Arabidopsis thaliana: one gene and its partners. Each later gene encodes a partner of the first gene's protein in a complex. Each region holds a gene or a part of one and is shown in the gene's direction. Other genes may lie near its edges.

Region 1 (8,203 bases):
AATCGAGAGGCAAATGATGATCCAGCTGCTGATGTGTCATTGGTTGGAGAAGCAGCAGGAATCACAGGTACAGGTTCTTCAGGCTTCTGCTCATAGAGGTTATCCTTTGACTACATATACAACAAATACTAATCTAATCAAAACCAAGAACCGAGAAGCTAAGCTATAATTCTTTATAAAAACGAAAAACGTTACCTTAGTAGTAAGCTTACGAGCACCAAGACCACCAGTCTTCCCAGACTTTCGCGAAACAAGAGGTTTCTTAAACGTACTAGCAACAACTTTCTGAGAAGCTTTTGGTGAAGAGACAACAGCTGCTTCTTGCTTCAAAGAACTCTCTTTCGGAGATTCAGAAGTAAACCCATTTTCAGATGATTCCACTGGCTGAGAAGTAGCAACAGAGGATAACGACGGTAAAACAGTTTCTTCAGCCATGGCTTTAGCAACTTCTTTAGCAAGAGTCTGTCTATACATATCAGCAGCTCTTGAAGTATACTTAGCCTCAATCTTACCACCATCATTCCATCCATGTTGCTTAAAAAACACCTGAGCTCGATTGTTCCCTCCAAACATCATTGTTCTTAGCTGCTCAGGACTCCACGAGTCTAAGTTCGTTGACCTGCACAAAAACAATATGATCTTATAATAGATCTACAACAACATGAAATGCTATAAATAGAGTGGTCAACAGGAAAAAATAAGTCAACATCTTCCTAATCACAGCTTAAACCCTAGCCAGAAGGTGAAACATTGCTACAAGTCCATGAAGCTAAAAATTAAGCCTAAAGAGTTCAAATTTGTGTTCCTCAAGATTCAAAGTTTTACCTGACGAAGCTGATATGAACACCTAGACTTCGATGAACAGCAGAACAATCGATGCATAGGAAGATCCCATAAGGAACAGAAGCCCATGTTGGATTCTTCGCACTACAATCAAAGCAAACCTAAAAACCGAAGCAAAATCATAAATCAATTCGGAAGATTTAGGTCGTATAAGCTCCAGATCTGAACGAAATTCAAAATCGAAAATTGAGTAACCCTAACCTTGTTCTCGGATTTTGATTTCAGCTTTCTGAAAACAACATTCTTATCGGTGAGATTCTCAGTCGCCATCGTTGAAGAGTTTAGAGATGTTTCCCCAGAATCTGGAAATCTGAAAGTGGCGATTATGGATCGACTCTTCTTCTTCAAAGCAGAAATTTTTGTTTTTGTTTTTCTGTTATCTTATTTGTTTACGTTTTTTGATTAGAGGATCAATACTAAACTCGATGGGCTTGTATGGCCCAATAATGAATAAGCCCATATTTGTATTTCGTAATTTCGTAGATGTCATTATTTTTATATGAAAGTCACACAATTCTAAATCAAATGTAAACTCTAACCATAGTCTAAATCCTGTAAAAAACTTCTAATTCTTTAATCACAAAACTTAACCATAAAACAGAAAATGAAAAAGGATAAAACCTCATCGCTAAATTTTATCATGATTTTCTCCATCTTGTTATTAGCGCAAAGAGGATCGCTTGAAAGATGAAGACAGAATTGTGAAAAATTGAAAACCAAAATAATTGTTAAATCCAAAAAATCGACTTGTTATGGAAGTACATTAAGGTATTAAATTAGGTTATCTTCACTAATTCCTCTCGAACCTTTTACTTTCTTTCTTTTTTGATAAAGTAAAACTTTTTACTTGATACAATGTTTCTGTGACATGTAACATGTTTATCAATGTCTTGTAAGAAAACTGGCAAGAAGTAGAGATATTTTATTATGTAATGTCAATAATCATATGTTAGTGTACGATTAGTGGGTCTAAAGTCGTTTTGTAATTACATCATCCACGAGAATCACGTGAGCTGGATCATTTTAGCCATCGTGATTAACCATTGAATATTATTGTACATGTTGTCCTTTTCACTGACTACTTTTCTTCTTCTTTCTTTTTTTTTCTGGATATTTTGTTTATAAGTAATGGTTGGCATTATCATGTGTAGTTCTTTGTCAATAATCATGTGTAACTTTGACAAAAAAATCATATGTAACGTTTTAAAAAATTATATACTTTGGTTGGTCATTATAGTTTTAGCCAAACGATAAAAAATTTGATGAAAAAAATGTGGTTAAAGAAAACTTACAGTATACCGTGACAAAAATATGAAGATTGTTAATAAATAGATATGTCAATTATGGTGACAGAAACATGGAAAGCAGACAGACGATGCCTAGACAGAGGACCCAAACAATTAAAGTGGGCTACACAACATAATTCCAATATTTAAAAAAAGAAAAAAACAATTTAAAATGTCTAAGAAAAAATAAATTCGAATATGAATTTTATAGAGAAAATACAAATTTTATACGTTAATTTCTTCCTCTTTCAAAAATTGAACGGAAGTTGCTATGTTGTTGGATACATTATTATTTGAATATATATTACAAATAATTTTTAGGACTAGCAAATCATTTTTTGAGTTTTCTTTTTATGGTTTTCGTAGTCAACTCCACAACCGATAGTTTTACATCGATGCTTGTACAATTTTACAGTTTGACAGATGGTACTGTACTACGACATACGGTTCTATGCACCACACTAAAATCTCTAGATAGAAATCGTTTCCATTAATCTTCAATAATTTGTAATCTATGAAAATCAAACTTCATATATGGTGTGATGAAGTATTAATGGATATTTAGTTAACCATTACACCAAAAAAAAATTTACACCGGATAATTATTTGAAAACGTAAATTTCATATTAACGGTTCAAACTGATTTTTAATAAAATGAACATAATGAAATGATATTTAAAAAAAAAAGATGATTGGAGAAAGAAAACACTTTTAGTTTTTTCATATATATTTATTTTCCTATAACTAACATAAAATCAGTTGAAATATTATTTTAAATTCCTAACTTAATTGATATAAATTGAGTAGAATCTATTTTTTTCCTTTTAAAAATGCAATTCTTTTTTGCAGTTTAAAATATTAATTTATATGAAAAATAAAATTTATATTTTAGATTTCTAACTTATGAAATTTTGAATTATAGCATTGGTCCATATTCGAAACTCTAAGTCACTATATCACCATAAATGGATTATTTATTAGTTTTTTCTCCATAAAACAATAAGTGGCTATGTGATAATAAACGGATCTAAGTTATGTTTCAGACAAAACAGTGTCCAAACGAGAATTATCACTCCATGAATAATTTATTTACGTTTTCGTAACAGTTAACCAAATTATTATCGTTTGGTTTTTGTCATATAATATGTCGCAACTCTCAACAAAAACTTAAGAAAATAAGAAAAAATTATTTACAATTGTTTTAGAAAAACAATAAAAATAAAATATAGTATTGTAGAGAGAATCATCTTCTCCAAACAATCACTAAACGCCATTTGCTTAGCTTTTTCCCTCTTTTGATTTTTCCTCCCTACACGTCACCTCTCTCTTCTTCTCACCGGAAAAAAGTCTTCACCTTTCACCGGAAAATATCACCTTTTCAACCGGCGTATGTTCACATGAACGGCACAACATCATCAATCAACTTCTTGACCTCCGACGATGACGCGTCGGCGGCGGCTATGGAAGCTTTCATTGGAACAAACCACCACTCATCTCTCTTTCCTCCACCACCACAACAACCACCTCAGCCTCAGTTCAACGAAGATACTCTTCAACAACGTCTCCAAGCTTTAATAGAATCCGCCGGAGAAAACTGGACTTACGCTATCTTCTGGCAGATCTCACACGACTTCGATTCATCCACCGGAGATAACACAGTGATCCTCGGCTGGGGAGATGGTTACTACAAAGGAGAGGAAGATAAAGAGAAGAAGAAGAACAACACCAACACGGCGGAGCAAGAGCATCGGAAAAGAGTAATACGTGAGCTTAACTCGTTAATCTCCGGCGGAATTGGGGTTTCCGATGAATCAAACGATGAAGAAGTAACAGATACTGAATGGTTCTTCTTAGTTTCGATGACTCAAAGCTTCGTTAACGGTGTTGGTCTCCCCGGAGAATCTTTCTTAAACTCTCGTGTGATTTGGTTATCCGGGTCTGGTGCTTTAACCGGGTCGGGTTGTGAAAGAGCGGGTCAAGGTCAGATTTACGGGTTAAAGACGATGGTGTGTATCGCGACTCAAAACGGCGTCGTTGAGCTTGGTTCGTCGGAGGTTATAAGTCAAAGCTCAGATCTGATGCATAAAGTTAACAACTTGTTTAATTTCAACAACGGTGGTGGAAACAATGGTGTTGAAGCTTCTTCGTGGGGTTTTAATCTGAATCCAGATCAAGGAGAGAATGATCCAGCTTTGTGGATTAGTGAACCGACGAACACCGGAATCGAATCTCCGGCGAGGGTTAATAATGGTAATAACTCGAATTCTAATTCTAAGTCTGATTCTCATCAAATTTCTAAGCTTGAGAAGAATGATATTAGCTCTGTAGAGAATCAGAATCGTCAAAGTTCGTGTCTTGTCGAGAAAGATTTGACCTTTCAAGGTGGGTTGTTGAAATCTAATGAGACTTTGAGTTTCTGTGGTAATGAGAGTAGTAAGAAGAGAACTTCGGTATCTAAAGGGAGTAATAATGATGAAGGGATGCTTTCGTTTAGTACTGTGGTTAGATCAGCTGCGAATGATTCGGATCATTCTGATCTTGAAGCATCTGTTGTTAAGGAAGCGATTGTTGTTGAGCCACCGGAGAAGAAGCCGAGGAAACGGGGGAGGAAACCGGCGAATGGGAGAGAAGAGCCGTTGAATCATGTTGAAGCAGAGAGGCAGAGAAGAGAGAAGTTAAACCAGAGATTCTACTCTTTGAGAGCTGTTGTTCCTAACGTTTCGAAGATGGATAAAGCTTCGCTTCTCGGAGACGCGATTTCGTATATCAATGAGCTTAAGTCGAAGCTGCAGCAAGCGGAGTCTGATAAAGAGGAGATTCAGAAGAAGCTAGATGGGATGAGTAAGGAAGGGAATAATGGGAAAGGTTGCGGGTCAAGGGCAAAAGAACGGAAAAGTTCGAATCAAGATTCTACGGCGAGTTCTATAGAAATGGAGATTGATGTTAAGATCATAGGTTGGGATGTGATGATACGTGTACAATGCGGCAAGAAAGATCATCCCGGTGCTAGGTTCATGGAAGCACTTAAGGAATTGGATTTGGAAGTGAATCATGCGAGTTTATCCGTTGTGAATGATTTGATGATTCAACAAGCTACGGTGAAGATGGGGAGCCAATTTTTCAATCATGACCAGCTCAAAGTTGCTTTGATGACGAAAGTCGGAGAAAACTATTGAACAAAGTTGGCATATCAAAGAGGGGAAACTAGTGTTTTCATCGATGAAATGGGATCGAATTTAGCGGGTAATGTATGGTCTTTTGTAAAGTAGTAAGTACTCATTTTGCATCACTCGCTTCATGTTGTTAAATGTTGTTGTTCATTAGGAGAACTTGCTTAGTTCTTAGCTTAGTGTTATCATAAGCCTTAAGTGAGAAGGAAGTTGGAGACTAGAAGACCAGAGAGAGTTAGCGAAATAATAAAATCTTTGGTTGTACTTGTATGTATATATATGTATGGAGTAAGATTAAGTGAGATCCTAAATTCTATTGAAGTTTTTTTATTCTATGATTGAATTTTTTTGTTAGTTTGTAACTTTGTAGTGTACATAAAGGTCCAAATTTATGAACTGTAGTGTACCAAAAAGCTGAGGAAAATAAGTGGTTGTAAATGGGTTTTGCCTAGAGATAGTGCTCTTATCTTTGTAAGGGGGTATGAGGAAACTGTTTATAATGCCAAAAATGTGGAGACATGTGTGATTTGTTTGTAAAAGAAACTAAAAGTTAAACCAAAGATTTGTTAGTTTTAAGTAATGAGTAGGAAGTCTTTTAGTGCCTATCTTATCTTATCTTATGTGTGAGTTTGAGTATATCTCTATGTTTAGAGAGCCGTGTGATCTACCTATGTTTCTTAATTCTTATAGTCTTGTGTACATTAGTAACGACTAGTCTTTAAGTAGTTTAGTAACATATATACCGCAAAAATCAAGATTTTCCGAATATTCTTTTTGGAACTGAGTTTGTAGTATCACAATTTGAATTTAAATCCGAAAATTTGCTAGTAGGTTTAGTCTCAAATTTTTGTTTAAACCAAAATGTGAAGGCATTTGATTTTCTGCAAACATGAAGAACATTTACTGCATAATCAACAATGAAAGTTGCCAATAAGCTACTTTTCTCCACCATTGATGAGTTCTAATTAAAAACCACCAACTTAAGTTTTCATAATAAATTGAAAAATACTTTTCATGTAGTACCATAAAGTTGACCCCTCCTCTTTAAAGGATGTTAGAAAATTATAGCCATCTTTCATCTATCTTAGGTATATGTATATTAAATAGTTGTTCACTCATTCGTTCACACTATAATTTTGTAATGAAAATATATATGACAACAACTATTGTTAATTCTTACAAAATTTGTCTTTGATTATAACCAACGACCAAAGACAGAAAACTCTCTCATTTCTATGAAGGTTATAGTTGTTAATTAACGTGTGAGGCGATATCCCTACTTACACATGCAACGTGTGTGTTACCCAAAATCGAATTTACAAATATACACTTTTCACTAAAATTAGATTAGTTCTCGTTAGTCTTTTACTAAAATAAAACAAGAAACATATTACTAACTAAATAAAACCATATAGTCTCTCTTTCTTCTTCCTTGTCTCTCTCTCGCTCATTATTGATCTCCATTGTCGTAAGGAGATCGCAAAAAAGCCATGAGCCTAAATTGTCTATCATGTCAAGCCCTTCCACGAACAGATTCCAACAAAGATGTTGATCTCTCCGGTCCTGGACCACCAAGGGTCGAGATTAACAATGTTCTAGGTAAAACATGTTGTGTAAATCCTATTGGTGGGAGAAATTGGTCAGGGAATTTGAGTCCTAGGATCTATGAGAAGATTGGACGGCCAGGATCGTCTTTAGCGCATAAGATGAAGAAGGTGAAAAAGATTCATCACGTTAGGCTAAGTGGTCCTGTTGGTTCTAGCCCTAGCAATGTACCAACCCGGCCGGAACAACCAAAGCTCGTAAGGAGCACTGGAGTCCGAAGGAATTGGAGTTTTGAGAATTTGAGAGATCAAGGATTAATAGAAGAAAAAAGGAAGATTAACATATGAATATATGATCAATGATTGATCATGATTCTGAGATTTTATATAAATGTGAGAGGATAAAGCTGATTACATATAGTTTCAAATCCAGATTCGTGATTATATAATCGTGATAGAATATGTGAGATGTATAATAGTATTATTTGGACGACAAAACGTTTCCATTGATTTATTACTTGTCACGTTTTGTTCTCTTTGAATATTTGTTTTTATGTTTCTTTTTTGTCTTTGAATGAAAACGTAATTTCATTAAAGTGTTTTGTTTCTTTTCTAAAATCGTTTTCATATCTGTTTTCGAGTTTCTTGCGTAACACGAGAGATCATCCTTATTGGTGGTATACTATTCCATCTAAATAGCCAAATTGCATAAGCAGTAAAGCTTTTGCTATCTTTCAGAAAATTATTAGTAACCAACAAAGCAACAAAAAATCAATCATAAGAGAAACAAGAAAACTTATCTCTAATTCTCTAAGAGTATTATGACTCGACTTAAAAGTTAAGTAAATCATCATTACAATTGGGCCTACTTTCGCACTGCGTAATTTCGAAATAATTAATACACAATTGACATGGCAGATTTTGTTTCGAATCGTCATGACATATACTTTTGTGGTATAGCTTCGTTTCTTTAATCGTTATCCATATCGGCATATCGCTATATAGTACAAACTATACCATTGCAATACAAGATATACGGTTTTAACAATCACACCAATCATAAAGTAATATCAACGTTACTAAAACAATATTCTCAGCTATTTCACATCGCTAGTTTAACGATAAGAGATGTAACAGTTCTACAATTTTTCGACGATCTATTAGATTATCAACACTTGTATAATCAACTTTAGTCTGATCAATCGTAGTAAAACCATGGTATAAAAAATACGACTCCTAAATAATCAACTTTAGTCTTTAGTCATATTATAAACACTAATCCTCAACTTGTTTACGTATGTATCCTAAATTCCTAATTTTAATCCACTTGTTGGTTGTATCTAGTAAAAAATCGAATAGT
Region 2 (7,946 bases), on another chromosome or scaffold:
AAAAAAAAAAGTCTGAACGAAGAAAGAGTTGCAATTATTTAGTAATTTCAATGATATGGAACTTGCAAATTGTGGAAATTCTTAAGAACGTCCCCAACCAAAAACCAAAAAAAAAAAAACCAAAAGCATGCAACATGGAACCACATATAAGAGTACCCTTCTTTACGTCAATTATCTTTAAAGCAAGTCTTCGCTCTTCAATTTATATTTTACCAAATCATCTTCTCTCTTTCTCTATCTCTCAAAACAAAAAGTAACCATGATCAAGACAAAGACGACGTCCCTTCTCTGTTTCCTTCTCACAGCCGTTATACTAATGAACCCATCTTCCTCCTCCCCCACTGACAATTACATATACGCCGTTTGTTCTCCGGCTAAATTCTCCCCTAGCTCCGGCTACGAGACAAATCTTAACTCCCTCCTCTCTTCCTTCGTCACCTCAACCGCCCAAACCCGCTACGCCAACTTCACAGTTCCCACCGGGAAACCGGAACCAACCGTTACCGTATACGGTATTTACCAGTGCCGCGGCGACCTAGACCCAACCGCCTGCTCGACGTGCGTATCAAGCGCCGTCGCACAGGTCGGAGCCTTATGTTCAAACTCGTACTCCGGGTTCTTGCAGATGGAAAATTGTCTGATCCGTTACGACAACAAATCGTTCCTTGGGGTTCAAGACAAAACGTTGATCCTCAACAAATGTGGACAGCCGATGGAATTCAACGACCAGGATGCGTTGACCAAAGCTAGTGACGTCATCGGTTCTTTAGGTACCGGAGATGGATCTTACAGGACAGGTGGCAACGGGAATGTTCAGGGTGTGGCTCAGTGCTCCGGTGATCTAAGTACATCACAGTGCCAAGATTGCTTGTCTGATGCAATCGGACGGCTCAAATCTGATTGTGGAATGGCTCAGGGAGGATATGTTTACTTGTCGAAATGTTACGCGCGTTTCAGTGTTGGTGGTAGTCACGCGCGTCAGACCCCAGGCCCAAACTTTGGTCATGGTCAGTCTTCCTCTAAACTTATTTTAACTAAACTAGATAAAAAAATAAAAAGTCGTAATCACTAAAAAAAAAACCTTTTTACGTAACCTCAGATGAAAATTTAAATATTAGACTGATCTTAACAATTAGTCTAATGGTTTATATATTTGTGTACGACGCTAAATTTTTAAACCCATAAAATTGATAGTGTTGACCATAAATAAAAATATGAACATTATACTTGATGGAGAAAACAAATTTATTAAAAACTTTAGAGGTGGATGGATAGTTTTAAAATTATATATATATATATTTGGCAGAAGGAGAGAAGGGCAATAAGGATGATAATGGAGTGGGAAAAACATTGGCGATAATAATAGGAATCGTCACCTTAATCATCTTGCTCGTTGTGTTTCTCGCTTTTGTTGGAAAGTGTTGTAGAAAATTACAAGGTATTTTTGATATTGATTTACGTTTTTTTTTCAGTTCTTTTATCGATCATAAAATCTAAATTACTATGTATATGCCTTTTGCAGATGAGAAATGGTGTAAATGAAAGGACAAAGTGGGAAAGATATCAATCAACAACTCGAGTCGAGCCACACTGTTAGTTGTATTTTTGTAATTTTTTTTGTTCTCCCTCATAAGATGTACGTAGTTATAGTATATTGATAATTTGATATAGTATTGATATGATTGTATCTCCGAATCGATTTTTGTATAATTGTCGGACTTATATAGGCCAAAGCGATATCTTCTTCTTTGATGTGAATGAAACCTTCGATTTCTTATCTTCTATAAATGCCATGTTTTTCGTCTATGCAAAAAATAACAGTAATTAAAAGGGTTTGAGCTTCTTTTATCAATACACAAACAAGTTAAAATAAATGAACGTGTCGAGAATAATGGAACATATTAAACCGTAAATCAGGATGGAGATCCAAAAAATGATAACTGTGTTCGTCCTATTGCGAATGTCTGAACGAATCTTTTCATCGTATTCATCATTATTTATTCTCATATTGTCTAAAGAACTCAATTGAAGACTTGGCCTAATGTCCTTTAATCATTAAAAATGATAATTTAAAATTGTAAGCTGACTACCAAATCGTTTTAGGACTTTGAAAGACCAACTAACGTCTAATTCTTTTCCATATTTTTTTTAATTTTCTGAAATTCTTAATGTACTACCGATGATTGCTTCATAACCAGGTTCTTCTTTTAATTTGTACATGAGTAACATGACTAATAAATGACTTGCGTCTGTTTGAAACATTATATGAATAAGAAAAATTGGTCTCAAATAACAACATGATGTATCAAAGATTCAAAAATTTCACGTGTTATGAAATGAGCTTAGCAAAAGTTCACTCAAGTTCTTGGAGGTCTAGTTTGGAATGCAATTTAGCCAAATCTGTACAGTTATACTGAACAGATTTAATGTAAGTCGGGCCGTAAACAAAATTATGGGCCTTAGATAAGCAAATCAAACTTCTTTCAGCCCATTGAGCATTCTCGTGATTTGGTTATTGTATATCCAATACGTGACATTACTTTTGCCTCAACGAAAGAGTCTTGGCTTATCATTTCATTTATTATTATAGTTGAAATAATTTTCAAAGAAAAGAAAAAAATATGTGATAAATACCAAACCGTTGCATAAGAAAAGCAACCACACATTTTACATGTGTGTGTGAGTTCACGAAGAAAATATCCAATAGCCAAACTAATTAATCCACCTTTGAAAAAAAACATGCACTATTATAAACTAGAGCCACCGACGGTCGACGGATGTCTAATTGTATATGGTCCTCAGAAATGAAAAAATCAAAAGAATAAACACGTGTGAATTAACCGGTTTAACCAGTAGCACCAACCGTTTGTACCGGTCAGAAAAAAGCCCCACATGCTTTAATCAAGCAAGCCTTTAAAAACAGGAAAGGCAAAGAGTTAAATAAGCCTCTCCAAAAGTGTGTCTGTAACATTACCAAAACGAAACCTTCCTTGTGGATTCCCACTTCTTTCTTCTGTTTTCTTCTTCCTCTTCTTTAAATTGGATGTTTTGGGCAAGAAACAGAGAGAAACACGTTAATTTGAGAGTTTGTCATTGAATATTTGGTTTGCAATGGAAAGAGATTTTCTGGGTTTGAGCGACAAGCAGTATCTAAGTAATAACGTTAAGCATGAGGTTAACGATGATGCTGTCGAAGAACGAGGTTTGTGTTCTTGTCTCGAGAATCTTTTATTTTAATGTTTCAAGAAGAGATCAGTTTTCACTTTTAACATAGCCGTATAAAGTTGTTTATTTAAATATAATTTTTCAGATTCCAAAACTTGAAAAAAAAAAGATTCCATTAAATCTTTTATAAAAATGAGATTGGATAGATTAGTCAAATTGACGACCATAAAAAATGATACTTATAGGGTTAAGTACGAAGGCAGCTAGAGAATGGGGGAAGTCAAAGGTTTTTGCTACTTCAAGTTTCATGCCTTCTTCAGATTTCCAGGTTGGTTCATCTTAAAATTTAACTTACTCTGTATCAGTTTCAGATGTTATGGCTAATCTAATGGTTCTATAAGCTACCGCATAATCATGGTCGTCTTTTAGCATGTGCAAGAGGAGTACTCAATTATGGTCTTGATTAAAAAGAAGAATTTACTTTCAAATTATGTTAAACACATCAATCACATATTTATGAGAAAAGTTGTTTTCGTAAGAGATAGCCACCGGAAAATGGTCGGATAAATGGCCGAACTTTATCATTTTTGTGTATGTGGCCAATCATTAACCAGGGAAAAAAAATTGTTGGATAAGTGCTAGTTAAGAGCTGGTAGGGTCGGTCGTCTGCCAGCCGCAAAGTTAGGGAAAAAATAATTTAATATTTTGTGGCGTTTGGTGTTTGGCGTTTGGATCACGTTTATTTCTTGGCATTTTTCTAAATTTAGAATGTACAAAAAATTTAAAGACGTTGACGATTAAAATTTGAATTTAACAAATTAGGAGGCTAAGGCGTTTCCGGGTGCATACCAGTGGGGATCAGTTTCTGCGGCCAATGTTTTCCGCAGATGCCAATTTGGTGGTGCGTTTCAAAACGCGACGCCGCTTTTACTAGGCGGTTCAGTTCCTTTACCAACTCATCCTTCTCTTGTTCCACGGTAATTTCCATATTATGATGCAAAAACATTCAACAATTTTTTTGCTCTTTTCATATTTTGATTTGGTTATGTGGGTTTGTGGAAACAGAGTGGCTTCCTCCGGATCATCTCCTCAGCTCACAATCTTTTATGGCGGAACTATAAGCGTCTTTAATGACATATCTCCCGATAAGGTATATATAATCAAGATTCATACAAATAACATTTACATAACATTTACATGTTCTAAAACGGACTATTCATGATATGTGAGTAGGCTCAAGCCATCATGTTATGCGCCGGGAACGGTTTGAAAGGTGAAACTGGAGATAGCAAACCGGTTCGAGAAGCTGAAAGAATGTATGGAAAACAAATCCATAACACTGCTGCTACCTCATCAAGCTCTGCCACTCACACTGATAATTTCTCAAGGTGTAGGGACACACCCGTTGCTGCGACTAATGCAATGAGCATGATCGAATCATTCAATGCAGCTCCTCGTAACATGATTCCTTCAGGTATGTGTGTCTAATATCAACATCAAAACAAAATATAATCAAGATTTTTGCTTCCTCAAATCATATGTCTAAACTCGAAAATTGCTTTTTTCCAGTCCCTCAAGCTCGGAAAGCATCCTTGGCTCGGTTCTTGGAGAAGCGCAAAGAGAGGTTTGATTTTGTATTTTTTTTCTTTATAGAAAATTTTGAGGTTTTTCAATTGAATCTAAAAGAATTGATGTTGTTGGTGCAGGCTTATGAGTGCAATGCCATACAAGAAGATGCTTCTTGATTTGTCGACCGGAGAATCCAGTGGAATGAATTACTCTTCTACTTCTCCTACATAAAACCTACACTTTTTTTTTTTTTTTTTACAATGGTAATTTGTAATTGTAATCATTAGATTATGATTATATAGTTACCATTTATATTCTTACGAGCAGGAGAAGACGTTAGGGCGTCTCTGTATTTGATCATTGTTTGTAATGCTTTGGTCTGTTTATTGTAGGATTACATTATAACTTTAAGAACTAACAGATATATGTTTGTCATGGACTCATGTCTGTCAAGAATTTAATATCAAATAAAATTCACTATAATTTTTTTTTTGCTAATTTCACAAACACACTTCATTAACTAATTATATGAACACTTAATTGATTTATACCAAAATCATATTGAATGCATCGCTAAAGAGAATAGTACTAGTTTTGTATCGCCAGCTTTCGTTGTTAACAAGTCCACTTTACTATTATTCTCTCGAGTTTTTTTTTGGTATCAATGTAAAGAAAATAAGAAGGTGAAAATTCTCTTGAGGTTGATGATTGTGTAAAATACCTAAGATGATATATTACAAAAAATGATATGTTTTCAAAGGAAAATATTCATGTTTTAAATAGCTTTTTATGAAAGTCACGAGTTCAAAATTTGATGTTAAGGAGAATAAATACTACTAGTTTATGTGCTACAGTAAACAAAAAAAAAATTGTGAACCAAAAGAGCTCACATGTTGATTACGAAAACAGAGAGATTCTCTTCACAAGCGGAAAGATCTTATAGATATTATTATTTAGAGGCAGATAAATAATTGTAGGAAAGTAATAATGGTGAAGGAGATGCACATAAGCAAAAGTTTGGTGAGGAGGACAAAAAAGAGAGCTTAACCTCTAAATTCATCACCAAAAACACGTTCATATATATGAGTGGATAAGAACGATCGTCGTGGTCTTATCATTTTGCGTATCCTCTCTCTCGTGTATATGTTGTATCATCATTTACTCACTTGTCCTTTCATGCCCCCACCAAGTTGTGCAATTTGAACTACCACTACACAATTCAAAAGTACATTGTTGGGGCTAAGTTTAGTCCTTTTGTGTTTAGATTGTTTCATGAATTGATGGATTTATGATTCCCAACACTCATTTTGTGTTATCTCCTTCACTCTCCATTTCAATTAGTACTCTCTTTTACTTTATAAAATTAAACAAAACTTGTACTCTGCTTCACATTTTAACTCCTTTGCTTCTCTCTATCACTCGATATATAGCAACAATAAAGTGATTTAAAATCAATTGTGACATCAACATTTCTGGTACAAACCTCTATACTACATGTTCATACAAATTTTAATTAATAAATACAATTTTGATTTTGACTTTAATAGTTTCTATCACTTTACATTATTTTCATTTTTTTTTTTGAAGAAAGCCAAGGTCTCTTCTCTCTCATTTATCCATTGGTATAGAGAGAAACATAGCTTTCCCTAAAAACGTCTTCTTTTTGTTGACACAATTGTTTCCTTCATTAACGAAATATAAACCAAAACTTGTATTATCTCTAAGGTTTGTGTGACCATAAAATTGTTCTGAAGACAAGACAAGGTCCACAAGGACATGAATATCTGCGATAAACAATTTCACACAAATAATCCAAAAACATAAATGTCATACGTTTTAAACAAAATACATTTTTGAGATAAACCCTGAATTTGTTTCTTCCTTTTACGGTGTGTGGTTCGAAACGATGCAGTGCCATGCCGGGTCATAAGCAGAGACAAAGTCACGATTAGTACACATCTCACATTTTTCAGATCAACAAACATCAAATAAACAGATTAGAAGCTGAATTGTTTCAAGAGTTTCAGTGTTATACAATATCCTCTAAGAAACTTTATCAACAAGGATCACACAGCGCTAAGTAAAAAATTCCTAGAATTATCGAGTGAGCTATCCTCGGGTAACGTCGAACTTAAACAATAATACACGCGCACTAGGTCTCATAGGCAAAGACAACAAGATGAATCATAGTAAGCAAACGAACTCTTAGCTAACAAATTAATTTTCTTTTTCTATGGGCTTATTGGGCCGTCAACTGGACCATTTAATTTTACTAAGAAGGACAGAGATGAGGAAGTAGACCACCCCCATGAGGAAGGCCCAACAGAGATGAAATCATTATGAAGCTTGATTTGCAAAACTATAGATGGATATTTTAATTTTTAGTAGGAATCCAAACAAACAATAAACTTTTCACACAAAACCTATCATTGAGTTTTTTAGTTTTAACTGTTTTTGCTTTTGTTGAATTTGGTTCGATGATCTTTTTTTCTCTTTAAAATCAAACTTTGGTCTGATGATTATATCAACTTGTCTAGCGAGTATTAACTAGTCGTCTTGCAAACAAATAATTCAAGTAATTGACTGCAAATATAATAAGTTTAGACACCGACATAACTCTTTCTCTTCTTCACTAATTACGGGCTTACAATACAATTGGTTAAGTAGTAGAAAATAAAGAGTGGCAATAACATTAAAAAAGAAAAAAAAGGGTTTTAGGGTGGCCTAAAGTTTCCAGCACACCTCTAATAGGATAGAGAGTAATAAGTAATAAGGCCCTCCCTCATCGCCAAGTAGAATGGGCGGAGAAGTAACCGAGAAGGCCCACTAGTGGTGCATTGATATAAGTCGTGGGCTCAGACTGCTGAAAGTAAGGTCTTGAATCCGGAAAAGCATCAGTGACATTAGGTCCACCGACTACAGCACCAACCAAAAGGTTTGGGTTAGGATTTGGGCTTAGGAAATAGCGAGAGCCTTCTTTGCACCCTATGTGGCTTGGATGGGCTGAAACCGAAGGAACCGAGCTACCACGGTGATGAATCCTACGTGGAAACTTTTGACCGTATCCAACCATGTAAGACAGTCCCATCGGGTTGTCTCCGAGAATGTAATCCACCTGTTCACATATCACAAAAACAATAAGGCTTTGGTCCCAAAGAGCAAAACGGCTATGTATTTTGTTTTTGGTCTGAAATTTGGGACCAATGTTTTTT
Region 3 (7,521 bases), on another chromosome or scaffold:
GGTTTGGTTCGATTACTCAATCGAATCGGATCGTGCACACACCAAACTCTCTTCACCAGCTTCTGACACAGACTTTGCAACTCTCATGACGGATCTTTGCTTCTAATTCACTATTTCTCGGCTAGATCTGTGGCAAAACCAGAACCTCAATGTTTCTAGTTCCTCGTTAATCGAATCATGGTGGAGAATTTGTTTCCTTCTCGATTTCAATTTCATCTTCAGAGACTTGACCCGAAGCGTCGTCTTACTTCTCTCCTTGCTTCTCACAAAACACTCTTCACATTTCTCTGGATCACTGCCTTTGGTTCCGTCTTTCTATGGCAGCGAACGGCTTACATCGAAGGCGGCTCTGGAACTGGTCCTGTCGGAGGAAAGTTCACAATTTTCGGTAAGATCAAACCGATTCAGCCAATTCCCCGATTGAGACCTGTGGTGTTTGATTTGAAGGATTTTGGAGGTGTTGGAGATGGGTTTACGCTTAACACTGAAGCATTCGAGAGAGCTGTGATTTCAATCTCTAAGCTTGGGGGAAGTAGCGGCGGAGGTCAGCTGAATGTGCCGCCTGGACGGTGGCTTACGGCGCCGTTTAATCTCACTAGCCATATGACTCTGTTTCTCGCAGAGGATTCCGAGATTCTTGGTGTTGAGGTTTGTAAAATGTTTTGATTTCCTCTTGTTTTGCTTTCATTTCGAAACAATGAAACGAATGCAAAAGATTGATTGGTAATTGTTTACTGAAAGTCAGACTCTTTAGCTCTGTTTAGGTCAGAATTGCAGAAATTTAAGCACCACTAAGCTTGGAACATTAGATTTGTAGGTTACAGGTCACTCACTCTAGCCAAGTTAGAGTACAAATGACTGTGTTTGCTTGTTGTGTGAAGGAACATAATTTAGGAGATTTTGAGACTTTGCGTGATGGATGTGTGCGTCTTGTTTACTTAACGTGTCACTTTAATTGTCAGGATGAGAAGTATTGGCCTTTAATGCCACCATTGCCTTCATATGGTTACGGTAGAGAGCGTCCGGGACCTCGTTATGGGAGCTTAATCCATGGTCAAAACCTCAAAGATATTGTGATAACTGGTTAGTGGTTTTCCTCTTTCGAGTTCATGTTTGTGAAATTGTGGTAACCGTGTTAGTAACTAAGGGGTATAAGGAACAGGTCATAATGGAACAATAAACGGGCAAGGACAATCGTGGTGGAAGAAGCATCAAAGAAGACTTCTCAACTATACGAGAGGGCCTTTAGTTCAAATTATGTGGTCTAGTGACATAGTTATCGCTAACATTACAATGCGTGACTCACCGTTCTGGACTCTGCATCCATATGACTGCAAAAATGTAACAATAAGGAATGTCACCATCTTGGCTCCTGTAACCGGAGCACCAAACACTGATGGAATTGATCCAGGTATGTTCATTTACCGCTTATATCTGTTTTCCGGTTATTCTGTACTCATTTAAAACGTTTTGAACCATCTTGTTTATTTCCGTAAACAGATTCGTGCGAGGATATGGTAATTGAGGACTGTTACATTAGCACCGGGGATGATGCGATCGCGATAAAGAGTGGATGGGATCAGTTTGGGATTGCATATGGACGACCTTCAACAAACATTCTTATTCGTAATCTCGTTGTTCGCTCTGTTATCAGGTAAAGTATTTTCTCATTTCTCATCTTACACCGCAAAACTTTGAAAACGTTTTCTTTTAAAGCAAAAGAATGAAAGTGTTCTATATGTTTTGACAGTGCTGGTGTATCAATCGGAAGCGAAATGTCTGGTGGAATATCTAATGTGACGATCGAGAACCTTCTGATCTGGAACTCACGCCGTGGAATCAGAATTAAAACGGCTCCAGGACGAGGCGGTTACATCAGAAACATAACCTACAAAAACCTAACACTAGACAATGTTCGGGTTGGGATAGTGATCAAAACGGATTACAACGAGCATGCAGACGATAATTATGATCGGAAAGCATACCCGATACTTTCGGGATTCAGTTTCGCGGGAATCCACGGACAAGGAGTGCGAGTGCCGGTCCGGATCCATGGAAGCGAACAGATTCCGGTAAGGAATGTGACGTTTCGGGACATGTCCGTTGGGTTAACGTACAAGAAGAAACATATATTCCAATGTTCGTTCGTGAAAGGACGAGTGTTCGGTTCGATATTTCCTCGACCTTGCGAGAATTTTGATGTTTACGACGAGGAAGGTCGTCTGGTTAAGCCTGCAGCTGAGTCCAATGTGGCGGACATTGACTACGACATTTGAATGTTTTTTCAGTTCATTGTCATTTGTGTACATAAAAGTAAATTTTGGGACACAAAAATGAAAATTATTTTTCTTTGGACCATTTCTCTTCGTCGTTGGGGTTTTCTCATTCTGATAAATAGTTGTAATTTTAATTAAAGTAATAAATATAAATATTTATCACAAATAGGTCAACTAAAGATAATTCGTTGATGAACAAGCAATATATTAGAACAAAGGAGTTAAGTTGCTTTATTGATCGAATTAAAGAATAAAATTTGGATGAATACAGAACTCAAACTCATAAATGTTGTTGAGGTTCATAGTTTTGCAGTAGAATGCTTAGAAAAATCAAAATCTCCATGTTGAGGTTATTAATATTGAAAGCACGTGTTGTTGTATTCGACTCAATTACTAAACTCGCATGTTAACGCATGACACATGATAATATCGGCATATTCAGTGAACCAGGTTGGTTCATGATCCCTTCCAAAGCGGACTCACACCTTAGACTCGGAGCTCACACGCCAAATCGCTCGGCTAGGTTTTGATAGCCAACTCCGGCCAAAAAACCAATCGCGAGAATGTGGTTTTTGATTGACCCAACTCACATTTTGACCTAGCACGAAAACCAAACACCAACATGAAATAAGATAAACTATTCAAAATATCTAGTTTTATATAAAAATCTTAATTTAATGTCACGAGAAGCATGTTCGCACTACTAAAGTTAATTAGCACAGTTTCGAACATTTATATATGTATATTCTGCAGAACACCGACGACTCCAATAATGGTCACGACTCACGACCCATGTGGAGTAATAGTTTTCCTTCTTTTTTAACATTTATAAATTTTAATATTTATTTTCGAAAGGCTAACAAACGCATGCGTACCTTTACATGAAACAAAAAGAAATTGTAGAATAATATTGTTTGAACATTTCTAGATATTCATGTGCATATTGTTCAAAACTTGTGTATGATTGTATCATTGATTGTTACATAAGTATTTGTTAAACAAATAAAAACTATACAACGTGGCTACGTATCAATCTATGCTTAGCAAAGTCAACCATGTAAATTTTGTAAGTATTACCTTACTCTAAGAAAATAAAACCCTAAACGAACAGATAGGCTTGCACCTGTATAATATATTAGACATTACAAGTCTCTACAATGTTGGTTTATCATTAACAAGGACTAAACAATATACTATAATCATACAATAAATTAAGAGTCGTAAATTAATGGTAAACTCAACTAATGCATGAATAGTTGTAAAAGTATATATATTTGGACACGTTACTCAACTTGCATCGCGGATCTGTATTCCTTCCCAACCACTACGTACACGCATTTCCCACGAGTTTGACGATCTTTCTCGTTTAATCTAATCATATCTACTTTTATAGGCTCCATAGCCCACATTTCATATCTTATAGTACGTTCCAACTTCTAACCAATAAACTCAAAACTAGTTGAGTTTTTTAATTAGTGAAATATATCTTGAATTTTATATATCTAATCTTGCACCAATAAAGTTTCTGTCAATTATGTAAAAGAAAGACTCGTTGTATCAGTATGGGACGACTTTTTCTTCTGAATTGTGTCGATCGAGTCCATATTATAATACTTTGTCACGTACTTTGTTTACTGATTAATTTAATATAATTGTGTCGCATTATCCAAGTCTAATTAAACATTAATGTGTATATTATACACCAAGTTACAATTACAGATCTATCTCTTAGTCGTTTTATTATGTATAGCCTACAATGAAACATGACATCAACGTATAGGTGAAGCTGAAGCCTATACATAAAAGTAAGGTTTTGGAGTTTGTTTCATGTTTTAAGGTTTTAGATATTTTGTGATCGATTTGCATGTATAGGGTTCCAAATATCTGAGCTTTGGCTTGGTCTACTTTGAGAAAGCAGCTGTAGAGATCAACTTTAGCCGTTTAGGTGATAAAATCACATTAGAACTCTATAGGTCGCGTAGCAGCGTATAAGAGCCCTGGATACTGAAATACAAGAATCTCTCCACGCGTAGAAAAACGAACCAACCATGATAAAACACGTGTCATATCGAATAGGTACAGACAACGTGCACTTGCCAACCTTCTTTCCTTGTAGTTTCCTTCTTCTTTGCTTCTTTTTTTCGTTAAATATTGATATTGTTCAAAAAACGCATAACAACAAAAACGTGGTCGACGGAACATGTGGGTGGTGGAGTTGTCTTCTTTAGGGGACCACTCACTAACGCCGTTTACTTTCCCGCTTGGACGATAACACCCTTGATATATGGATTAGTCTCTCTTTTGCTTTTGGATATCTTAATATATTTTAATATGTCCATTTTTATATTGACGACCATTTAATTAGGTCTCAGTTTGTATTATTGATTTTTAGGTGCCAAGCATTACTTTCGTTACGTGTAATCTTTTGATTATTCAATCAAATTATCATATGGTTCATGGCATTTTATCAATTGTGACGGTCGACATGTGGGTTGACTTTGATGTATGACTTTTAGCTTGTGCCTCATTTTTATTCCAACTCGACAACTAGCAGACTTTATATTTTAATTTATTTCTTTCTAGATATTAGACAATTCTTAGCTTGTCTCTCTGCATGAATCACGCGTTAATATACTTATAATAGTAAGTTTTAAAATGTTTCGAGTATAATATCATATTAGATTTCAATTATAATTGTAAGATTATTTAGTCTCAATGAAGAGCATTTAAAAATGTGAAAGAGTTTAGGCTTTGACTGTTGACTGGTTCTAACGCGTTTTGCTTCTTATTTATACAAAAAGATTTTATTTTATTTTAATTAGAAATATTAAGTACTTTTTAGACGTGTTTAGGTTGATTAATTTCTTGTTAACATATCCGATAAAAAAAAACAGCACCAAAATCACGACGAGAATTATGCCTACGTTACGTTGATAATAAAGATTAGAGATAAAATGTAACCTCTCTTCTCTTTACATCATTACATGCATCTTGTGTTTTATTTGACTTTATTCTTACCAACAAACAACCAATGGATAAATTAGGCTCGTGAAGGAGGGCAAACTCGTAATTTCAAAGAAACGGAAAGCGTCAGAACGTGGAGAACAGTGAACCGAGACACATTCCCGATTTTTCTAAAGAAACAAAATAAAACACGTGTTTTTTATACCATAAGTAAAGTAGTAGTATTTATTAAACTATTAATATATAGCTTTGTTATATTGGAGGTAGGAAGAAGAACTCTGCAACCAAACCAACCAACCCCAAAGCCAAACAAAGTTTTATAGAGACCTTCCATTTCTCCCTCTCGTGACAAACGCAATTTGCAGAGAAGCAACAGCAACAACAAGAAGAAGAAGAAAAAGATTTGAGATTACTTTGTATCGATTTAGCTATTCGAGAAACTCTTGCCGTTTGAAAGTTTTAATTGTTAAAGATGTCGAGTTCTATGGAATGTTCTGAGTTCGTCGGTAGCCGGAGATTTACTGGGAAGAAGCCTAGCTTCTCACAGACGTGTAGTCGATTGAGTCAGTATCTAAAAGAGAACGGTAGCTTTGGAGATCTGAGCTTAGGAATGGCATGCAAGCCTGATGTCAATGGTAAGAAACCTTCTCTTTCTCCTAGATCCACTTCTTTTTTCGTTTTCTCTGTTTTTTATTTCTTGAATCTTGATCTTGAAAACTTTTCAAGAAAATTTTGAATCGATTTCAAAGAAATTAGGGAGAGTTAGTTTGCTAAATTTTGACATAGAAAATGATTGGAGAGAGTTCTAACTTTTGGATCATATATATTTGCAGGAACTTTAGGCAACTCACGTCAGCCGACAACAACCATGAGTTTATTCCCTTGTGAAGCTTCTAACATGGATTCCATGGTTCAAGATGTTAAACCGACGAATCTGTTTCCTAGGCAACCAAGCTTTTCTTCCTCATCTTCCTCTCTTCCAAAGGAAGATGTTTTGAAAATGACACAGACTACCAGATCTGTGAAACCAGAGTCTCAAACTGCACCATTGACTATATTCTACGCCGGGCAAGTGATTGTATTCAATGACTTTTCTGCTGAGAAAGCCAAAGAAGTGATCAACTTGGCGAGCAAAGGCACCGCTAATAGCTTAGCCAAGAATCAAACCGATATCAGAAGCAACATCGCTACTATCGCAAACCAAGTTCCTCATCCAAGAAAAACCACAACACAAGAGCCAATCCAATCCTCCCCAACACCATTGACAGAACTTCCTATTGCTAGAAGAGCTTCACTTCACCGGTTCTTGGAGAAGAGAAAGGACAGAGTTACGTCAAAGGCACCATACCAATTATGCGATCCAGCCAAAGCGTCTTCAAACCCTCAAACCACAGGCAACATGTCGTGGCTCGGTTTAGCAGCTGAAATATGAATGCTAACCACCCTCAAGCCGTACCAAGAAATTCTTTTGACGACGTTGCTTCAAGACAAGATATAAAAGCTCCTATCTTCATGCTTTTTGATTTAAGATACAAACTACTCAATGATTAGGAAACTTCATATATTTGTATGTATTGATTAGTGATCAATTATTGTTAGTATTCGTTATAGTCTGTTTTTCTACTAGTTATTGTCGCCTGTCTAAATCCCCTTGCTATGGGTTATCTCAAAATTAGTTTCGTATGTAACTAATTTTGTAAGAACAATAATTTTTGTTGACGAACCATACTATCAAATACTCTAAATTATATCTTGATAAATCTACCTATCAGGTAAGTAGGTGTGTTTTGTTTTCATTTGTTTACTTGTTACCTACTAATCTCATATTTTATGATTCAAATTCAAACCCGTGAATTATGAGTTAGTAGGTAGGTTTAACAACATGTCAACAACTAAAGAACAACGTGACATCTAAACCAAACCAAAACTATAGAGAGTTCAGAGTAGTCGTAGTCTCGTAGAGATCATTCATATAAATAAATCGCATAAACACCAAAATCAACTCTTAATTCTTTCCTAATCATCATTAATCTCTAATGGATTCCGAAATCGCATTCGACTATTCTCCGAGGTTTCGTATATTCAAGAACGGTGGCATCGAACGCCTCGTACCCGAAACATTCGTCCCACCGTCACTAAATCCCGAAAACGGCGTCGTATCTAAAGATGCCGTCTATTCACCGGAGAAAAACCTCTCTCTCCGCATTTACCTCCCTCAAAATTCCGTCTATGAAACCGGCGAGAAGAAAATCCCACTACTCGTCTACTTTCATGGCGGAGG
Region 4 (7,482 bases), about 17 Mb from region 1:
TATCCTTGGTCGTCTATCAGTGTCAAGCCTCTTCCTTCCTCAAAAAGGTCAAGCTATACAGGATTCGGCTTGAGGGGGGTGTATTAAGCCTATATGAGAGTTAGTTATAGTTTGTTACTTTACTCTCATACTATATATACTCTTGTAATGTTTACTTTGTTCATTAATGAGAAATATACTTTGCATTTGATAAAGTTAATAATTAGCAATAGACGAGTGGGAGAACCACATGAACCTTTCATATGAGAGTGTCAATGGGCCTGTCATTGTTGCCTCTGTCCTTAGGCCCCACTTTTCCATCATTTCTTCACTTTGTTTTGTAGTTAAAAATATATATTATGTTTCTTTCCATCAAAAATTGTTACTGCTTTAGTTCTATGGGTCTATTTATCTAGGTCCACTATGATTCTTATATATATTTCCTTATCTACATGTCCACTATCAATCATTGTAATTAATTCTATCAGGCCCTTTGTTATTCCGAAAAAGAAGTGTAAAATCTACCGAATAACTTATGTTATGATGAATGGGAGGGGGAGTCAGCTTTGAAATCGTATACTGATCTTGTGTATCACAAATTCACAATAACTTATTAGATCTTTGATTTTATTCACAATGGTATTAAAAACTATTGTTTAAGTGAATAATTTGAGGTGTCAAAAAAAAAAAGTGAATAATTTGAATGATTGGCTCAATATCAAGCCCAATGATCAAGACCTCGTCTCTCCATTGCGTTCGCGTTTGTCACAAATCTCATGCCATAGTATTTTCAAGTTGCATTTATAATGACGAAAGTGACAACCTATATAAGGCTAAGCAACATAGAACAGGCATACTAAAAATCATTAATATATAGTATTATTGCTACACCTATTTAGTTATGTCGGTGGATATCTAAGGTATAATATGCACTCTGGGGGGATTTTGAAAATTTTGACCAACTAATTATTACAAAAGATCATTAATACTAAATGAAACTCATGATTTGGGGCAAGTCTTTAAAACATAGTTTTCCTGCCCACATTTGAAAAGTAAAATAAAGATCCTCTTTTGTTATTTGAGGGTTGTCTTTTTTTTTTTTTTTTTTTTTGAATCAATGTAAAATTTATTCAAAAAAGTCCTTGGTTACAATATATGCAGCTTTAAGCATAACGTTTTTTTGAGTTTCAGAAAATTTTAAAACCAAGGAAAAACAGAGGTATAAAGGATTTCAAAACAGAGCCTTTGTTAGGCTCTCGAGTGGAACCAAACCCGGAGGGCGTCGGCCATGTTTGATGGTTGGAGCTGGTGAATGAAGGAGATTCTACGTACGCCACATAATTTTACCATTTTCAACGATTGCGTTGTTTCCCAAATTATGAATTGGAACTTTGGTAGCATCGCAATATATACGACGTTTGGGTTTGGCCCATGCTGCCATGCATAGCAATAGTTTTAAATACATGTGGTTGGTAATATAGAAAATGGTTTGAAAGACCACAAACTTTGATCAGTGATCGATTCGGTAGGGCCACAAATAACAATGTTTTCGCCACATGGTCATACTTTACGTTTTCGATGAGAAAATATTTAAACAGTTTGTTCGTCAAATTTCGATTAACTAGAACAAAATTCATAAACGAGAGAGACAGAATAATTCGAGAGAGCTAGAGTGAGGGTAACTAGAAAGATAGTAACTGATTTTGTATCTAATAATTAATTCATTAATTTAAAATCAATGATAAATCACTTTGATGGTTGTGGCCTTGTGGGTAATTATAATTAACACGTACCATTTTTTATCAAGGCATTTTTAAACATTTTGTTTGTTTTTATTGAAGTTTTCTTCTCACTATTCAAAAACGTAAAACCCTAACAAAAAAAAGTAAAAGTAGAACTGTTTACAAGTCTGGCTGAATGGGTTGATTGACTCGACAAAAGATTTTCCATGTGGATTAATAGAACAAATTTTAATAATATATACGAAATTGATGTATTTTCTTTTCTTTCGATCACTATTAATGTCTTAAATAATAAAAACATATAGTACATTTTACAGATTATAAATTTATGTTGTGTTTTATTTTGAGTTTTGGCTTGAATTTTTTTTTTTTTTTTGTTGTTGTTGTTAAAGTGGTTTGAATCTGTATTGGTTACAAATAAAACAAATAATGTTACGTTCATTTTGTCTGTAGATATTTTTCTTACAACTTATGCAGCTATCTTTGGGGTTTCATTTTGAGTGTGGATGTTTGGTTTTGAGTTAACTCTGCATGTTCCGAAGAGGCGTAACTAAAATAAAAGAAACTACTTGAGATGCGAGATGTGAAATGTGATTAGATGAGAAAAAACGAACATTAATAATTGAGCAAAATAACTTTATTTAAATTTTGAATTCAGCGTTAGTGTTACACCCAAAGTGGCAAACAAATAGGACCGATGTTGAAAAAGAACACACGTGATATAAAATGTACTGAGAGAAAATTATTTGCATTAGATGACAATAAATACAATAATAATGAATAGATGAAATAACTTTTAGTTGACGAAAAAAAAAAAAAACTTTTAATCTATTTTATTCACTAGATCAAAAAGCATGTTTCAGACAGTTTTATTCTTATCATTCAATTATTTCACAACGTATAATTTTAGTTTATTTTCGTAATTTGTTAATATACGTATCAATTGAATATTTTTGACGGTTTTTATTATGTCATTTAATTATTTAAGGGAACATAGTTTATTTTAAAATGCAGTTCTATTTTACAAAAAAAAAGAAAAAAAAAATTGCAGTTCTACGTTGACATCTAGCTGATCAACTATTCATCATATATACTTGTATAATCTATTATTTTAAGTTCTATATTATTATTAATATGTTAAATATAGATATATCTATTTAAGAAAATATCATATAAATATATGTTATAAATCTATATATAGAAAAAATAAAGCACAGAATTTTGTCCCACATTCTGTCGATACGTACTCGAGCTTATGAAGTTGTTCTTTTCTAATTATATTTTTTCCCATTGCCCTTTATCAAATCAACTCTAATAAAAATATATGGTAACTTATGAAGTTGTCATGTATTTATGATATTTCTCTTTGGGTCGGCACTGTATTTGTGATGTTGATTATTTATCTAGTGGCAGAAAATATTCCATAAGTCTCTCTCAAACCATTTGAATAGTTCCAAAAACATCTTGTCACTAACACTCACTCTTGATGAGTTTTTTTTTTTTTTTTTTGGGGGGTCAAAGTACTCTTGATGATGAGTTGATATTCTTATTTAAAAAAAGCTTATTACTTATTTAAGTTATTTCAAAAAGTACATTCTACACGAGTGCCAGGCTTATATATATGCATAAACATATATAATTATGCATGGAGGAGTAGTAGCTTGCAATGTCTTGAAACTTTGATATATCTTCTCCTAGTCTTTCTTTTAAATGTTTAATATGAAAACACAAAATCCTACAACGGTCGTCTACCACAGTTTCTCAGTCAGTTTCATATTCAGATGCATCAGAGTTCTCATCAAGAGATCTATCAGTCTATTGCCTTAAACTCGACGACATTCTGTTTTTTTTTTCTTTTCTTATTTTTTCTTTTTCTTATTTCTTACCTATAGGTTGTATGTAAATCTATATCAAAAAAAGAAGAAAAACAAGATGTCAAGAAAGCCATGTTGTGTGGGAGAAGGACTGAAGAAAGGAGCATGGACTGCCGAAGAAGACAAGAAACTCATCTCTTACATTCATGAACACGGTGAAGGAGGCTGGCGTGACATTCCCCAAAAAGCTGGTATATATGTGCTTTATTATTATGTATATATTTTAAAACACTTTTTACATATATATAACTATAATTGTTGTTTTTATGACAAATGATGGTGTTTAGGACTAAAACGATGTGGAAAGAGTTGTAGATTGCGATGGGCTAACTATTTGAAACCTGACATCAAGAGAGGAGAGTTTAGCTATGAGGAGGAACAGATTATCATCATGCTACACGCTTCTCGCGGCAACAAGTAAAATCCTAGCTTGCCGAAATCCATATAAATAAGGGTATATATAATTAACACATTATTAAAGTTTATATATATGTTTTACTTAAAAGGTGGTCAGTCATAGCGAGACATTTGCCCAAAAGAACAGATAACGAGATTAAGAACTACTGGAACACGCATCTCAAAAAGCTCCTGATCGATAAGGGAATCGATCCCGTGACCCACAAGCCACTTGCCTATGACTCAAACCCGGATGAGCAATCGCAATCGGGTTCCATCTCTCCAAAGTCTCTTCCTCCTTCAAGCTCCAAAAATGTACCGGAGATAACCAGCAGTGACGAGACACCGAAATATGATGCTTCCTTGAGCTCCAAGAAACGTTGTTTTAAGAGATCGAGTTCTACATCAAAACTGTTAAACAAAGTTGCAGCTAGGGCTTCTTCCATGGGAACTATACTAGGCGCCTCCATCGAAGGAACCTTGATCAGCTCTACACCGTTGTCTTCATGTCTAAATGATGACTTTTCTGAAACAAGTCAATTTCAGATGGAAGAATTTGATCCATTCTATCAGTCATCTGAACACATAATTGATCATATGAAAGAAGATATCAGCATCAACAATTCCGAATACGATTTCTCGCAGTTTCTCGAGCAGTTTAGTAACAACGAAGGGGAAGAAGCTGACAATACTGGAGGAGGATATAACCAAGATCTTCTTATGTCTGATGTCTCATCAACAAGCGTTGATGAAGACGAGATGATGCAAAACATAACTGGTTGGTCAAATTATCTCCTTGACCATTCCGATTTCAATTATGACACGAGCCAAGATTACGACGACAAGAACTTCATATGATCCGTTGATTGCTTACCGGACTAGAGTTGACCGGTTAATGTCATATGGTTCTCTTAGATATTTGTCAAGTTATAGTAAAGGTCCACTATAGGGTCACTATATATTAATATTCAGTAATGGATTCTCTTAGTTAGAGAACCTTGTGATGCCGTGGATCAATTAGTATTTGATTTGCGGGAGACACGAGTTTTTTTTCCTTCTATTGTTGTTTGTGGATTTACGTACTATAAATAATAAATAAAACACCCATTTGATTGCAAGCGTTCACTGTACTAAAACCATTTGATTTAAAGTTTGAGCCTTAGTTTGTCTGACAGTCTGAGCCATGTTACCAAAAACAATGAAAAATATGTAACACATTTTAGGTTTTTGGTGATATGAAACTCCGAAGAAACAAATCCCTACTGACTACTGAGAAAGTCGATAAGCTTTTTTGTGGATAAGTTTCATGGATATATTAGAAGTAGTAACCATTAACCAACAAAAAAATAGCTTAAGTGAGTTATCAAGGGATCGATGAACAATTATGAGATCCAATGTGTTTTTGTTAAGAGGCAAAATCCGATGCAGTCTCTATGAGACAAAATTTCCATGGGAAAAACAGAGAGTTCTGAAGTCTCTCTACCTTAAACATGTGCAAGCCTTAGCTTCAAATGCTCCGTAAGGTTTTCATTTAAAAACATGAAATAAGATAGAGAAATGATACTTGATCCAACTGATGAAGATTAACAAGATAATTTTGAAGCAACTTCTGTTTGTATAATATGTCGTACAAAATCTGCTACCAATTTAGAGGCCAAATTATTTTCTTTTCTAGACAGTTTGTGAGGTGGGCAGCTGAAGGTGTTTAAGCCAAGATTCTCAAGATTTATAAATCTTGAATCGAATTAAGCTATCAGCCGGAAATTAGGAAATGATATGCATATAGGGACTAAAGATATAGTTGTTGCATTAAAAAGCTTAAAGAGAGAAGTGGATGTGAAAAGAAAAAAACCACAGATTTTTGCACACAATCTTGTGTGTTGATTGATATCCAAGTAGACTAATTAGACTGCTTTGTTCTACACGATAATTGGTTGTTTTTAGATATCAATACGAAACATGTTAAAATGTGAAAATATTTTAGATTAGATGATAACACCTGAATTTAATGACAAAAAAAAAAAAAAGTGGATAGAGACTAGAGGGACAGCAAGGCTGTGTGACATATATGGGCAGATAGACAAAGAAGCCGAAAAACGTGCACCGTCCAAGATTCTGGCTACTATACCTAATTTCCTTCCCGCAGGGACTTGACAAATATCACTATCTGCCATTTTTAGTTTTATTTTGTATTGGTGTCAAAGAATTGAAATAATGAACAACGGTCGTAAAAAGATGTAAATGGTGTTTGATTGATTAATGTTTTTTTTTTTTTCTTAGTATATTTTAGCAATTGCATATTATCATATAACATTAATTAATAATTATTGTGTTGTAGATAAATGTCATGCATAATGCAGTAATAAATGTGTGTGCATATATTATATATACACGTTAATTAGATGCTAAAATGAGTGACATATCTTTTAATTCTTTGATAACACCATTTCCATAAATCATTGTAAAACTTACCTTATAACAAAAAATTAATAAATGTTATAGGGGTCAATTGACCCCCATAACTCTACACTAGCCCCACCTCTGCGGATAAGCTTAACATGTCTATTAATATTCATTAGTTTACGTGGTTTAAAAGTTTATTGTCACGAGTGCATGACACTTACCGTGATGTTGACTATATGAAGAGGTAGATCGTACGTGTACAAATGACTTCATAGATCTTTGATCTTTTTTTTCTTCTTCTTCTTTTTTGGTAATATTCTTTAGTTTTATTTGATCTATTGTCGTTGTAATGATCTTTGATTACAAAGGAAAAAAAAAACTAAGACCCTTGACGAAAATAATAACCGTATTCGTAATCTCTGATATCCTACATTATGTACTATTTCTGATTTTTGTTTCTTATACGCACTTTTGTTCTAGATATAACTAAGAAAATGTCAAAGAGACCATATTGTATCGGAGAAGGACTGAAGAAAGGAGCATGGACTACAGAAGAGGATAAAAAACTCATCTCTTATATCCACGACCACGGTGAAGGAGGCTGGCGTGACATTCCAGAAAAAGCTGGTACATAACTATATATAGACGCATTTGTGTCTCTATAATATGAATTTATTCACAATCTGTTACTAATATGTATTAATTATTCTCTTAATTGATCATTTGATCTTTATCTGCTTTTTTTCGAGTTTAGGGCTGAAACGGTGTGGAAAGAGTTGTAGATTACGGTGGACTAACTATTTGAAACCAGATATCAAGAGAGGAGAGTTTAGCTATGAGGAAGAGCAGATTATCATCATGCTTCATGCATCTCGTGGCAATAAGTACGTATGGCATTTCTCTAGGCTTGTTTGTGCTCATATCAGTTTAGTGAAGACATGATCATCAATGTTTTGATATATATGTACCCTGTGTTTTTATTTTATTTTACTAGGTGGTCTGTCATAGCTAGACATTTGCCAAAAAGAACGGATAACGAGGTCAAAAACTATTGGAACACACATCTCAAGAAACGTTTAATCGATGAT

Evidence for each region.
Region 2: the proteins of MYC3 (region 1) and TIFY7 are in contact, whole or in part, in a crystal structure (PDB 4YWC), measured with the Arabidopsis thaliana proteins. Residues at the interface, in NP_199488.1 of Arabidopsis thaliana: Ser18 (codon at 3,578), Gln53 (codon at 3,683), Gln74 (codon at 3,746), Ser76 (codon at 3,752), Trp92 (codon at 3,800), Gly93 (codon at 3,803), Asp94 (codon at 3,806), Gly95 (codon at 3,809), Tyr96 (codon at 3,812), Tyr97 (codon at 3,815), Ile122 (codon at 3,890), Leu125 (codon at 3,899), Asn126 (codon at 3,902), Ile129 (codon at 3,911), Asn140 (codon at 3,944), Glu142 (codon at 3,950), Glu143 (codon at 3,953), Val144 (codon at 3,956), Glu148 (codon at 3,968), Phe151 (codon at 3,977), Leu152 (codon at 3,980), Met155 (codon at 3,989), Thr156 (codon at 3,992); in NP_177227.5 of Arabidopsis thaliana: Val219, Ala222, Arg223, Lys224, Ser226, Leu227, Ala228, Arg229, Phe230, Leu231, Lys233, Arg234, Arg237, Leu238.
Region 3: the proteins of MYC3 (region 1) and JAZ1 are in contact, whole or in part, in a crystal structure (PDB 4YZ6), measured with the Arabidopsis thaliana proteins. Residues at the interface, in NP_199488.1 of Arabidopsis thaliana: Gln53 (codon at 3,683), Gln74 (codon at 3,746), Trp92 (codon at 3,800), Gly93 (codon at 3,803), Asp94 (codon at 3,806), Gly95 (codon at 3,809), Tyr96 (codon at 3,812), Tyr97 (codon at 3,815), Ile122 (codon at 3,890), Leu125 (codon at 3,899), Asn126 (codon at 3,902), Leu128 (codon at 3,908), Ile129 (codon at 3,911), Glu142 (codon at 3,950), Glu143 (codon at 3,953), Val144 (codon at 3,956), Glu148 (codon at 3,968), Phe151 (codon at 3,977), Leu152 (codon at 3,980), Met155 (codon at 3,989), Thr156 (codon at 3,992); in NP_001319041.1 of Arabidopsis thaliana: Leu201 (codon at 6,511), Ala204 (codon at 6,520), Arg205 (codon at 6,523), Arg206 (codon at 6,526), Ser208 (codon at 6,532), Leu209 (codon at 6,535), His210 (codon at 6,538), Arg211 (codon at 6,541), Phe212 (codon at 6,544), Leu213 (codon at 6,547), Lys215 (codon at 6,553), Arg216 (codon at 6,556), Lys217 (codon at 6,559).
Region 4: the proteins of MYC3 (region 1) and MYB29 are in contact, whole or in part, in a crystal structure (PDB 7FDM), measured with the Arabidopsis thaliana proteins. Residues at the interface, in NP_199488.1 of Arabidopsis thaliana: Glu49 (codon at 3,671), Gln53 (codon at 3,683), Trp92 (codon at 3,800), Gly93 (codon at 3,803), Asp94 (codon at 3,806), Gly95 (codon at 3,809), Tyr96 (codon at 3,812), Tyr97 (codon at 3,815), Arg123 (codon at 3,893), Glu124 (codon at 3,896), Ser127 (codon at 3,905), Leu128 (codon at 3,908), Gly131 (codon at 3,917), Glu142 (codon at 3,950), Glu143 (codon at 3,953), Glu148 (codon at 3,968), Phe151 (codon at 3,977), Leu152 (codon at 3,980), Met155 (codon at 3,989), Thr156 (codon at 3,992); in NP_196386.1 of Arabidopsis thaliana: Ser184 (codon at 4,388), Ser185 (codon at 4,391), Thr186 (codon at 4,394), Ser187 (codon at 4,397), Leu189 (codon at 4,403), Leu190 (codon at 4,406), Asn191 (codon at 4,409), Lys192 (codon at 4,412), Val193 (codon at 4,415), Ala194 (codon at 4,418), Ala195 (codon at 4,421), Arg196 (codon at 4,424), Ala197 (codon at 4,427), Ser198 (codon at 4,430), Ile203 (codon at 4,445).

Annotation. Positions count from the first base shown.
Region 1 is NC_003076.8:18,970,705-18,978,907, forward strand, and holds MYC3 (Basic helix-loop-helix (bHLH) DNA-binding family protein), read left to right. Parts: upstream 1-3,317; 5' UTR 3,318-3,526; coding exon 3,527-5,305; 3' UTR 5,306-5,886; downstream 5,887-8,203. Other genes in the region: AGD9 (ARF-GAP domain 9), read right to left, coding at 1-110, 196-619, 826-944, 1,045-1,113; AT5G46770 (uncharacterized protein), read left to right, coding at 6,790-7,191. UniProt on the Arabidopsis thaliana protein: Transcription factor involved in tryptophan, jasmonic acid (JA) and other stress-responsive gene regulation. With MYC2 and MYC4, controls additively subsets of JA-dependent responses.
Region 2 is NC_003070.9:26,651,840-26,659,785, forward strand, and holds TIFY7 (TIFY domain/Divergent CCT motif family protein), read left to right. Parts: upstream 1-2,928; 5' UTR 2,929-3,111; coding exon 3,112-3,202; intron 3,203-3,410; coding exon 3,411-3,493; intron 3,494-3,987; coding exon 3,988-4,142; intron 4,143-4,230; coding exon 4,231-4,315; intron 4,316-4,398; coding exon 4,399-4,639; intron 4,640-4,734; coding exon 4,735-4,910; coding exon of another isoform or gene 4,911-4,965; 3' UTR 4,966-5,225; downstream 5,226-7,946. Other genes in the region: HWI1 (Receptor-like protein kinase-related family protein), read left to right, coding at 260-1,007, 1,307-1,438, 1,523-1,542; GH9B1 (glycosyl hydrolase 9B1), read right to left, coding at 7,517-7,849. UniProt on the Arabidopsis thaliana protein: Repressor of jasmonate responses. Jasmonoyl-isoleucine (JA-Ile) specifically promotes COI1-TIFY7/JAZ9 interaction. Interacts with and suppresses RHD6 and RSL1 transcription factor activities to negatively regulate jasmonate-stimulated root hair development.
Region 3 is NC_003070.9:6,616,600-6,624,120, forward strand, and holds JAZ1 (jasmonate-zim-domain protein 1), read left to right. Parts: upstream 1-5,177; 5' UTR 5,178-5,232; intron 5,233-5,320; 5' UTR 5,321-5,712; coding exon 5,713-5,875; exon of another isoform or gene 5,876-6,073; coding exon 6,074-6,672; 3' UTR 6,673-7,021; downstream 7,022-7,521. Other genes in the region: AT1G19170 (Pectin lyase-like superfamily protein), read left to right, coding at 178-648, 963-1,083, 1,163-1,411, 1,501-1,654, 1,751-2,276; AT1G19190 (alpha/beta-Hydrolases superfamily protein), read left to right, coding at 7,277-7,521.
Region 4 is NC_003076.8:2,443,437-2,450,918, forward strand, and holds MYB29 (myb domain protein 29), read left to right. Parts: upstream 1-3,232; 5' UTR 3,233-3,653; coding exon 3,654-3,786; intron 3,787-3,882; coding exon 3,883-4,012; intron 4,013-4,101; coding exon 4,102-4,849; 3' UTR 4,850-5,148; downstream 5,149-7,482. Other genes in the region: MYB76 (myb domain protein 76), read left to right, coding at 6,889-7,021, 7,149-7,278, 7,389-7,482. UniProt on the Arabidopsis thaliana protein: Plays a minor rheostat role in aliphatic glucosinolates (GLSs) biosynthesis, mostly short chained. Together with MYB28/HAG1 and MYB76/HAG2, promotes aliphatic glucosinolate biosynthesis but represses indolic glucosinolate biosynthesis.